Drosophila melanogaster: one gene and its partners. The protein of the gene in region 2 interacts with the protein of the main gene of each other region in a pairwise test. Each region holds a gene or a part of one and is shown on either strand. Other genes may lie near its edges. The genes, in order: CG1416, SdhD and Tim9a.

What was found.
Region 1: the proteins of SdhD (region 2) and CG1416 interact in a two-hybrid assay, tested with the Drosophila melanogaster proteins (one large-scale study listed by BioGRID).
Region 3: the proteins of SdhD (region 2) and Tim9a interact in a two-hybrid assay, tested with the Drosophila melanogaster proteins (one large-scale study listed by BioGRID).

What each region holds. Positions count from the first base shown.
Region 1 is NT_033779.5:21,756,026-21,759,781, forward strand, and holds the start of CG1416 (uncharacterized protein), read left to right. Parts: upstream 1-1,984; 5' UTR 1,985-2,186; coding exon 2,187-2,334; intron 2,335-2,416; coding exon 2,417-3,053; intron 3,054-3,205; coding exon 3,206-3,341; intron 3,342-3,756.
Region 2 is NT_033777.3:23,758,938-23,762,693, reverse strand, and holds SdhD (succinate dehydrogenase, subunit D), read left to right. Parts: upstream 1-2,093; 5' UTR 2,094-2,199; coding exon 2,200-2,242; intron 2,243-2,333; coding exon 2,334-2,449; intron 2,450-2,521; coding exon 2,522-2,709; intron 2,710-2,770; coding exon 2,771-2,972; 3' UTR 2,973-3,207; downstream 3,208-3,756. Other genes in the region: udt (undicht), read left to right, coding at 1-145, 264-1,075, 1,134-1,713; PTPMT1 (protein tyrosine phosphatase, mitochondrial 1), read right to left, coding at 3,208-3,336, 3,399-3,716. UniProt on the Drosophila melanogaster protein: Membrane-anchoring subunit of succinate dehydrogenase (SDH) that is involved in complex II of the mitochondrial electron transport chain and is responsible for transferring electrons from succinate to ubiquinone (coenzyme Q).
Region 3 is NC_004354.4:13,383,054-13,386,393, forward strand, and holds Tim9a (Tim9a), read left to right. Parts: upstream 1-2,156; 5' UTR 2,157-2,283; coding exon 2,284-2,343; intron 2,344-2,446; coding exon 2,447-2,542; intron 2,543-2,607; coding exon 2,608-2,739; 3' UTR 2,740-2,840; downstream 2,841-3,340. Other genes in the region: Rbp1-like, read right to left, coding at 216-570, 1,247-1,635; Ype (yippee), read right to left, coding at 3,291-3,340. UniProt on the Drosophila melanogaster protein: Mitochondrial intermembrane chaperone that participates in the import and insertion of multi-pass transmembrane proteins into the mitochondrial inner membrane.

The DNA of each region.
Region 1 (3,756 bases), on a different chromosome or scaffold from region 2:
ATCACAAATCTTCCCGCATTAAGGAGTTAAAAAACAACCTAAGTAGAAAAAAAAACCAAATTGGTCTGGCTTATAGGTATTCATAAAATTTTATAAATACATATAAATGCACATATGCTACTCAACAACATAAAAATCGACTCTCTTGCCCACTATCTCTCTTCTTAATGTTTTTATTGTATTTTTTTTTGGGATATTTACTTTCGATTATTTGCTAAATTAATTCTTAGCACCAACAATAATTTTACCATCATTTTTATTATCGGTTTATTAAAATTTATATATTTTAAGATTAATCGTTCATATAAAAAAATTCAGAGCCCGTCAAGCCCTCCCTACAAAGGCTCTGGAATAAGTCTAGTGTCTTTGCTCCCTCTCTGTCAAATCACCTAAAAAGAAGCTGGCAAAAACTCCAGACAAAAAGACATCACGAAATTGTTTTTCTGTATACTACAAGTGTATACGAATATGTTCTTAAATCGTTGTTTCCAAAATTAAAAATGTATGTATATATTGATGGTCAATTACCTGTATTTCGAGTAAAAGTTCCTGCTTCTTGCGTCGCAGCTCAATCAGCAGTTTTTGCTGCTCCGGTGTAAGTTCTGCAAGAACGAGATGCGAATCAATAATAAATTCATATACTTGTTTCTGGGCATTTTGTAAATTGTATCGCAACACCAACAGTAAAAATAAAAAACACCAGAGCAGCATTCCAGGCACACGCGCCCAACACACATACACACGTGCATACACGAGCTGTTTGCGATGCGATGAAAGCATCTTGTAGGCTACGTCACTAGCTTAGGCCGATAAACAATTTTCACTTGTCGAAACCACAATGGATTGCTAATTGTGCAAATTGGCTTATTAGCGTTACCAAAGCTCTTCGGACTTAATTCTGACGAAGGCCAAAAACGAGAACGCAATGTACATATGTACATAATATACATACATATGTGCACTAACATTTCACCTAGCACACAAGTCTATACATACAAATGTTGCTTGTTGCTTCTCTTATTTTGTAGTTGTGGGTATCCCAATTTGTGATCTTAATAAAATTTTATCAATACAAAGATTCGTATTCTGTTCATGCTAGGCTATATCCTTCGGGCCAGCAAAAGTATCTGCTGTTTACCTGGCATTGAGAATTCACTGCGCCCCTTTGATATGGCACCGTACGATCTGTTGTCGAAATTGTCCATTGCGCTAATCATCGCGGAGCTACTGAGCTACTACACACACTCTCGCGCACACGACACACACTCTAGTTGTACATTTTTCACCAGCAGTTGGCTAATTTTTAAGGCTTTTCATTGAACAATCAAAGACGAACGGATAATAAACAAATCAACACCAAAAAAATTCTATCGCCATTTTCTTTCAGCTCTCCACTAGGGATGTGCTGAATTCAGCTATCGGTTGAGTAAACAACTGAAAAATAACAAGTGCATGCTGACTTAAGCTGGGTGTTACGCGAGCTCTGTGTGGCCACTTTTAAAATATCCTGATGCCACTGCATCTTGTAACCAAACGTAAGAACTTTTTAATCAGTAGAACTAAAAAAATTAGGGCTAATTATTTACTTGCAACAATACATTAAATATTTTTAGGGGTACACTTTTTCAGAGATTAGAGCAGACCTTATCTATTTCAAGACAAATAGCTTGAAAAGCTGTAAAACAACTTTGTTACATCCATTATGGTGTGATTTGCGGGAATCGGCTATTACCATTTCGAAAATTGTTTGTTACAAGTTAAAAACATAAACTTAAAGTTTTGGACGTACATAAAAATATAACATTAAAACAACCTTGTTATAAAAAAATACAATACCACCAATACTTACTGTCCATTTTAAATCTGTTAAAAAATTCACTGAACGAATACGTCTTTCGTCATAACTCCATTTAAAATATCGTCAGGAAATTTACACATCATTTCGTTTTTTTAACGGCACAAACACCTCGGACTTGGTGGCAACGCTGCCAACATATGTGTGCACTGGCATCGATAATTTTTACATCCCTATTTTGAACCGCAGAATTCTAGAAAATTCCACTCGCTGGCCATAGTAATTGTCCGAATTAGTTTAAGCTAAGACTGCCGGATCAAAAGTAAACCAACATCTTCCATCTTTTCATAAAATTGAAGACAGTTTCATACAATTCTACAGTAAGAAAGCGATGGCCAAGTGGGGAGAAGGAGATCCGCGCTGGATTGTGGAGGAGCGGCCCGACGCCACCAACGTGAACAACTGGCACTGGACGGAAAAGAACGCCACGCCATGGTCCAAGGACCGCCTGCATCAGCTTTTTCAGGATTTCAAAATAGGCGAGTATATAAGAATTTGTAGTAGTGTAGAACATACATTTTAGGTATATCCTAACCTAAAAGTAAACTTCTCAAAACGCAGGGCAAAGCGACATTGAGTGTGCCGTGGACTCCGTGGACAAATGCTCCGGGGAGGCCACCGTGAACAATCGCAAGGGCAAGCTCATATTTTTCTACGAGTGGGAGCTGGTGCTCAAGTGGTCTGGAAAGCTCCTAAAGAACAGCAAGCTGATCCACAAGGGCAAGTTAACCATTCCCAATCTCTCCGAGGAGAACGAACTAGCCGACGTAGAGATCACGGTGACAATCGACGAGTCCAACGACGAGTCGGAGACCCTGAAACAGTTCATGTACAACGTGGGACGAGACCGCGTGCGGCAGCAACTGGCTTCCTACATCCGAGAGTTGAAGGAGGAGTACTCCAAGAACCTTATCCTACCAAAGAAGGGCGACGAGGCCGGAGCGGGAAATACTGTGGCGAATTTTAAGGATGCCAACAATACCCGTAATGCAGCCCAAAATATCGCTTTAAACTCCTCGGTGGCGGCTCCTAGGCTGAAGAACTCTGGCATCGGCTGTAAACTGGACGTTCGCACTCTCTCGATGACCGAAGAATTTCACTGCAGCGCCAATGACCTTTACAACGCTCTCACAAAGCCAGAAATGGTCACTGCCTTTACGAGGGCACCTGCCAAAGTAGATGCCGTGCGCGGTGGAGAGTAAGTTTTTGTCCCTGGTCGTTTTATTTTACCATCACATCAGGACCGTTTGTGTCGTCATTTAGTAATCTTGTTATGAATAACCATAAATTTCGCCCCTCGCCCTTGTCTTCACTTCTTTATGGTAAGTAATCTTTTGTCTTTTATTGTAGATTTATTCTTTACGGAGGCAATGTGCTCGGAAAATTCGAAGAGCTCGTCCCTGAAAAAAAAATACAGCAGAGCTGGCGTCTGAAAAACTGGACATCTGGTCACTACTCAAACGTTGTCATAGAGCTGGAAGAAACTGTAAGTTACTAGGACAACGAAAACTAGATATATTATTATTTATTTTTTTAAATTGACCCGCTTAGTGATCCTGATTAACAATATACGATATAATTTTCAAAGAATGTAGTACTCCTTATCAGTCAATAAATAACGCGTATAAGACCATATTCCTACGGGCCTCTAAATTCGAAATATTTACAAAATTTTATGTGCACAAAGAAAATAGTAATATGAAAAAAAAATAACTTTGTGATTTGTCTATTTATTATTTATTGGTTAAGAAAAAAATTAAATTCGTTACAATACGTCGGATTTAAACTTATGAATGTAATGATTTTGGTTTAGTACATTTTTGAAATTTACATTCAGGTTAAATTCCTATTAATACCTAATTACATTATATGATGGAAACCAGCAAATTTGGTTAAAAACG
Region 2 (3,756 bases):
CATACCCGCTGGACAGGAACCCACCGTGGACTATGTGTGTCGTGGTGTTAAGGATGACCAGCAGTTGATAACGCTCTTTAACGAGAACTTTGTGCCCATCAACTGCCGATCGTCGCTGGAGGGAGTGTGGCATTTTACGTACCAGGTAAGATCAAAATAGATTCATAGATCACATAATTTGCACATGGTGCGGTTTAGTTAAGGGTCTAGAAACATATCCATTTTATGTTGATTAGTGATCTTGATTTGAACTTTTATTATAGAACCGATTCCGATTCACGGGCGTATGCGATAAGCCCGACGCTCGCATTCAGTCCTGTCAAACGGCAGGAACGCAGTTCCTCATCCAGAACCAGAAGTTCAACGTCACCTATCAGCAGTGCGAGGGTATGGAGGGCACATTCACCGGCACCGTGGAGTTCAGCTGCCTGGGCGATTGGTTTGTGGGCAAGAACCACTACTTTGCCGTGGCCAACACAAAGGAGTCGCGTAAGGATGAGAAGTACCGCTGCTTCCTTAAGAATCGTGACGATGATCTTTACGTGGGCGTTTCCATTACGGCCGAATGTAACACACTGAAGACGCCAGAAACGTCACCGGAGCGTCTAAAGCTGACGCCAGTGAAGGCTGAGTTTGTGGAACCCGGTTGCACGCTACCACAAAACTTTAGCGGAGAATGGGTGAACACTGCCAACATTGATGCCGATGTCTCGATCAGTGAGACCCACATAAACGAGACGTACTATCCGGATAAAGCTCGATACCGAAAGACAATCTATGTTTGCCGAGAGCGACGGGGTAATCGTGTGATGATGGCTCGCCTCACTGTCGACGGTTGCCAGAAGGATTACGTGTGCTTTGACTTTATGCCCCGCCACCACAACATCATTCGCTACCGCAAGGGTTTGGCTGTGATCAAGGACGATTTTAGTACAGTCTGCTCTTGGGTTCAGTTCCCCAATTCGGAGGCATGGAAATATGATCTGTTTCTTGCTCGAAATCCTGTGCCTGTTCGTTGCCCCGTTGCGGGAAAATTCAACTTTACGCAGCGAGGAGAGCATCCCTTCAGAACGAGGTTTGTAATGTTTTGCAATCGTAGCATGAAACGTATAATTAATGTGTATATTTCACAGAATTCTTGGTGGTGTCACTCTGAGTCCGCGTCCCGATATCCATTGCAAGCAAAACATCTCGGATTTATCGGTTTGCGATACAGATCAAAAGGAATTGGCGGTGGATGAAAACTATTGCCTGTCGGTGGATCACTTGGGTCGTCCCGTTGATATCTACAGTGATCCCGATTACCGCATGAAGTGCATTGGCTTCTGGAAGGAGAACCTCAAGTCCTACCTGATTACGTACGACGATTTGGATCCGCTGTCCAAGTATCGCTGCTGGGTCTATCAGCGTGCCGACCTCAACCGTGTCCTCATGTCGCAGGCTGTGGGCGCATTCTGCAAACTGGAGCAAGATGTGACCTCGTGGAACCACTCGGAGGGCGCTGCCGTAGCCATCGATGCCGTGGAGTACGAAAGGGAGCGTGACGACTGTCCCATGCACTTCGATGACGGATTGAATCCTTGGAAGCCGTCGGATGCCTCCAACATCATATTTGATTGGGACTTTTACCGAGCAGGAGCAGCGACACTAAAATTTCAACTGACTGGCCTCGTTATCGTGGTCTTAGTCCAGGTTAGGAGTTTATTAGCTTAATAATATCAAAAGTATTTTTTAACTATTCCATCCAACGAAATTTACAAAAATTTTACAACCAACATAAAGTCACTTTTAGGAGCAATTGCGTGCCTTAGAATGCGAATTTTAGAAAGTTTTAAGCAAATTTTAAACTTAGTTTGTAAGATCATCACAATTTTTACGTGTAACAGCCATTCCGTCCCAAACGAATCTCAAATGTATTGTGCAAATAATTAAAGCAGTTAAATAAATGCCTTGAACTAAATGTTTTCTTATTATTTATTACACCCTTTAATTGTTTGTTGAGTTCAAAATATTTTACTGGGCTTCCCTTATTATTGTGGGACAATATCTTGACCGCTACTGTTTACCGATAACAAATCGATGACAGCTGACTGCACTAGCCCAGTGCTGTGTAATTTTTTAGACAAATCGGCCCAAACCGAACGGAGCGATAGAGTTTTTATTTTGAGCTGAAAATTCTCAATATTTACACATCCCAACATGTCCCTCTCGTTGCTTCTGCGTGGCGCTGTCCGTTGCAATGGTAAGGACCCACTGGATGGCAAATCGCCTTGTTATTGGACGCAAAACAGCTTTCATTATATAACCAAACCGTTTGTTGGTATCCCAATTAGCCGCAAATCTTGTTAAGTCGGCTCGCATCACTCCCCTGAAGAGCTACTCCACCCTGGTGGCCAATGTCCAGCGGAAGGCGGTGGTCCAGCCCCTGGCCGTGGCCAAGATTGTAGCGGTAAGTGTTTAGAGTTGAAAAATTCAGTGGTGGCTAATCATACTAAATGGTAATCCTCGACTGCTTATGCAGCCCGTCGTGCGCGAGATCTCCGTGAGTGCGCCCCGCATGGCTTCCGCTGGATCCAGCCACACCCTGCTCTGGACTGTGGAGCGAATTGTGTCCGCCGGCCTACTGGCCGTCATTCCAGCTGCCTTCATAGCTCCATCCCAGGTATTGGACGCCCTCATGGCCATCTCTGTCGTCATCCACACCCATTGGTAAGATATCCTTGAGGAAAATTAAACCTTTACTTATATTTTCCTCATTCACCAAACGCAGGGGCGTGGAGGCCATGGTAGTTGACTACATGCGGCCATCTGTCGTTGGAAACGTCCTGCCCAAGGTAGCCCACATTGCGCTGATCATCATCTCGGTGGCCACGCTGGGCGGCCTCTTCTACTTCATCCAAAATGATGTGGGTCTGGCCAATGGTATCAAGCGCTTCTGGGCCATCAAGGGCAAGGATGCCGAGAAGGCTTAAATGTCAAAGGAGCAATCAGTTGATGAACCACGAAACACCAGTTATTTATTCATAGTTTCGCGATAAGCATTAAATAAAGAATTGTAAAAAGTCACAGCTGCACAGAGCGGGTTTTGTAGAAAATTGTATATTCAACAAGAAAATCAGCACTAAAGTAGTTGGGTAACAGGCACCACCTTTGTTACGTATGGTAATCTACTGTAAACAATAAATTTGGGCTATTGTCCAGGTTTGGTCATGATTTCGTCTCCACATTGTTTGTGTAGAATAACCGGAGGGCATCCCATTGTTTGGTGTGCAGCAGAATGTGCGGTCGGCACTTACGCATGTGGTCAACCGCCTGATCCGGAGTCCATCCGTTCTTCTGCAAAGGATAAGTTGTGAGCTTTTTTTTAAGAGCTACGTGCAAATAGATAACCAACCCACCATCATGAGGTAGCATCCCACCAAAGTGGCACTTCGCGTCCTACCAGCCTTGCAGTGCACATAGACAGAACCCACGTTCTCCGGCTGGTAGGAGGAACTTAGGCCACCAATTCTTTGCTTTAGAGGCAGGAACTTGTTTATGAATTCCACGCCGCGGAAGAGCTTTTCTTGATTGGGCGACTCAAAGATGTCGGTGGTGGCCAGCTGCAGGAACTCAATGCCAAGCTTTCGCCACTTCTCCGTGTTGTTGGAGAAGGCGGTCAGCTCATAGTCCTCGTTCATCGACACCACCGCCTTCATGTTCTCCTTTTCAATGAGCTGAGCGGTTAAACAAGGATTTAGAAGGATTTCAGGCTTG
Region 3 (3,340 bases), on a different chromosome or scaffold from region 2:
TGGAATGTATAGTTAGGTGACTGTGGGTGGTGTTCGGTCTGGTTTTGGGTGCATTATTCTTGAAGCTGCGGAGCCGAAGACGTTGCTGATGATTCATTTTTTTCTGTTCTGTTTTTCTTTTTTTTTTTTTTTGCCTGGGTTGAGCTGAACAGGTGGTGGAGGGGGTGTGGTAGTGTTGCGGTCGTTCGGTTTGGTTCTGGTTCTTGGTTTTGTGGTCAGCGGAATATATCGAATTTGTTGAATTTCTGGTTAGGGCCGCACAACAAATTGTTATTGCATGGTGGTGGTGTAGTGGTGGCTGTAGTTGTTGTTGTTGTTGGTGAAATGTGTGTAATAGGAGGAGCAGGATCTGCTGTTGTACTAGTTGTTCTTGTAGTAGCTGTTGTTGTTGTTCTTTTGGTTGTTGTTGTTGAAGGAAGAGGAGTAGTAGAAGTTCTAGTAGTAGTAGCTGTTGTTGTTTTTTCTTTTTTCTTTGTTGTTCTTTTAATTATCATTATTATTATTATTATTGATGTTGTTGTTGTAGTAGTTCTTGTTGTGCTTGTTGTAGTAGAAGAAGAAGACTTTATCCTGCAAAATGATTGTGAGACCACATTAAAACTGGCTCCAAGCGATCGATTTACTTTGTTTTTACTAAGTTTTCTTGTATTTTCTTTTCATTTTTCTTGTATTTTGTAATTTTACTAAAAACAACAAACAAAACGTTTTCTCTAGTTAAAGCTATACTCTTTGAACTTTAAACTATGGACCTCGGGGTGCATATAATGAGCAATGAAATGTGATACTAAAACAAGATTCCCCTTAAAAAACAAAATACGAGCTAAAAAGAATCGATTGACGTAGCAAAAGCAACCAGGACTGTCGGCCACGGACGCCACTGTGTGCGCGCGGTAGGACTGTTCTTTTTCACGGACGCCACTGTGTGTGTTTATGTATGGCTAACAGTGGTGTCCCACCGTATGTGTGACTGTGTGTATTTTGGCTGGCACCGCTTTTGTATGTATACGCGAATCGATTTTTCACATGCATACATACACACAAGCACACACGCTATATAAATATGTATACATATGTTTATTTATATATATATTTTTGCATACTTTTTTGCACATAATGGCAAAAATTATGATTTCATAATCTCGAGAGAGGGGTAGTGGTAGTAAGTGGGTGCTTTGGTTGGTTGGTTAGTTAGTTTATCTGGTTTATTCTGGGGATGCAAAATGTAATGCTTTTGTGCCGTACTCACCTATAGCGTCCACCGCCATCGCCAGCCCTTCCACCGCCTCCAGCACGGGCGCCACTGCCACCGCCGCGGCCGCCGCCACCGGATCCGCCTCCACCACCGCCGCCTCCACCGCCACCGCCGCGACCCTCTCGTGAACGGCCTGATGACATTTCGACACGGATGCGGGTGCCACAGCAGCGGGTGCCGTCGAGGCCACGGGTCGCATCCTCAGCGTCGCGACGATCCTCGAACTCGACGAAGGCGAAACCGGGCGGATTGCGGGCCACCCAGACGTTGCGCAAGGGTCCGTATTTGCTAAAGGCGTTCTCGATCTCGTATTTGGAGGCCGAGGATCCCAGATTGCCCACGTAAACTTTGCAGGCTAAATCCCATTCACGGTAGCGTGGCATTATGTATGAATATGTATGTGGCTGGAGGTGCTGCTCCTCCGGTTCTGTAATGGATTTTTGGTATTTGTTGTACCACTGGACTTGTCCAAAGTCAATTTTCCAGTTTGTTTTGATGCTATTCCGAGGGAATTCTCCTTGGTTTTTCAAAGAGCACACCCACAAAGCAGGAGCAGAAAAAAGTGTTTGTGAGGAAAAAAAGATGGCGTGCCCTCCAGTGTTGAAAAGTGAACGAGGTGCAGTACCGTAAAGCGCTGACCATAAGATATGCGACTATCGATATTTTATAGGAATATCGATCTTTGAAATATCATTTTATTCTATTTAATAGTTTAAATTAAATGTTTCACAACCTAAGGGTACTTAGTTAAAGTATTATTATAAATATACCTTAATTTATGTATGGATACATTTGCTTAATTTCATATACCCGATGTTAAGAGTAAAACTAGATGTGGTTAATTTTTGAGTCGGCCGAACCAGATACTTCACATAACATACTTCAAAAGATAACATATCGATAAGTCGAGAACACGGAATGGCTTTTTAACATCTGGCAACCCTGCACACCCAGCTGTCCCTATTATATAGGCACATTATTATTGGCCCTTTTTCGTTTCGGCAATTTTGAATAAAATATCGCAGAACAAAATGGCTAAGACACCGGAAAACATAGCCATCGATCAGTTGGACAAGGATCAAATTAAGACGGTAAGCAGAGTTGACACGAAGATACCATCTCATGCCAAGGACCGGCGGTGCCAAGTGATGCAATGTGGTTTTCATTTGATATGTTTTCGGTTCTAACTTTCAGTTTTCCGACTTCCTAATGTCCTACAACAAACTGTCCGAGACGTGCTTCACAGATTGCATACGCGACTTTACAACGCGGGATGTTAAGGATTCCGAGGTGAGTGCCCGTGGGGAAGCTCCATGTGGAAATCAGCGATTTCAATATGCCCATCCATTTCACAGGAGAAGTGCTCGCTGAACTGCATGGAAAAGTATCTGAAGATGAACCAACGCGTCTCGCAGCGTTTCCAGGAGTTCCAGGTTATTGCCCACGAGAACGCACTGGCCATGGCTCAAAAGACTGGCAAACTTTAGGTGTTATAGCTGTTACAAACAATCTTAACTAGTTTAGACAACTGAGATGATGCATTTTCCTGCATTTGTCAAAATAGCTGAGTAAAGAAACGCGTTGACGGAATCCCGACGATTATTATCTACTATTCGATTATTGTGGTACTTTATTGCTGATTGATTACGGCCTAGAGATCTTGTTTGAAAAAGACAAGTGTGGATCATCAGTTTCGAATATGTTCCAGCTGAGTAGCAGCCCATCTTTTTCGTTTTAGCACTTCAGCCTCATGACATTTAAATGGTAGAATTGGGCGCCGCAGCTGCTTACGTGCTAGATGTGCCTACAATTACGTTTAAGTCACGTTAAGACAGGGCCGTAGTCGCATGTGCTCCGTGGCGGATGTGCAACCGATATATCGGTCTTCGGTATCCCGAACACCGGAGCCGACTACGGCGATCTCTAATCTAGGTCTAATGCATAGAGGCCATCGCCTGTGGCCATCTACTCAATACTTAGGGCTACACAAGGTTCGCCAATGCGTGGTTCCCGTTTTCCGGCTGTATATTCAATCGGCTCAATGACTCGTGGTGGCGGCCTCCGACGGAAAGCCCTCTGCCTCTGTGA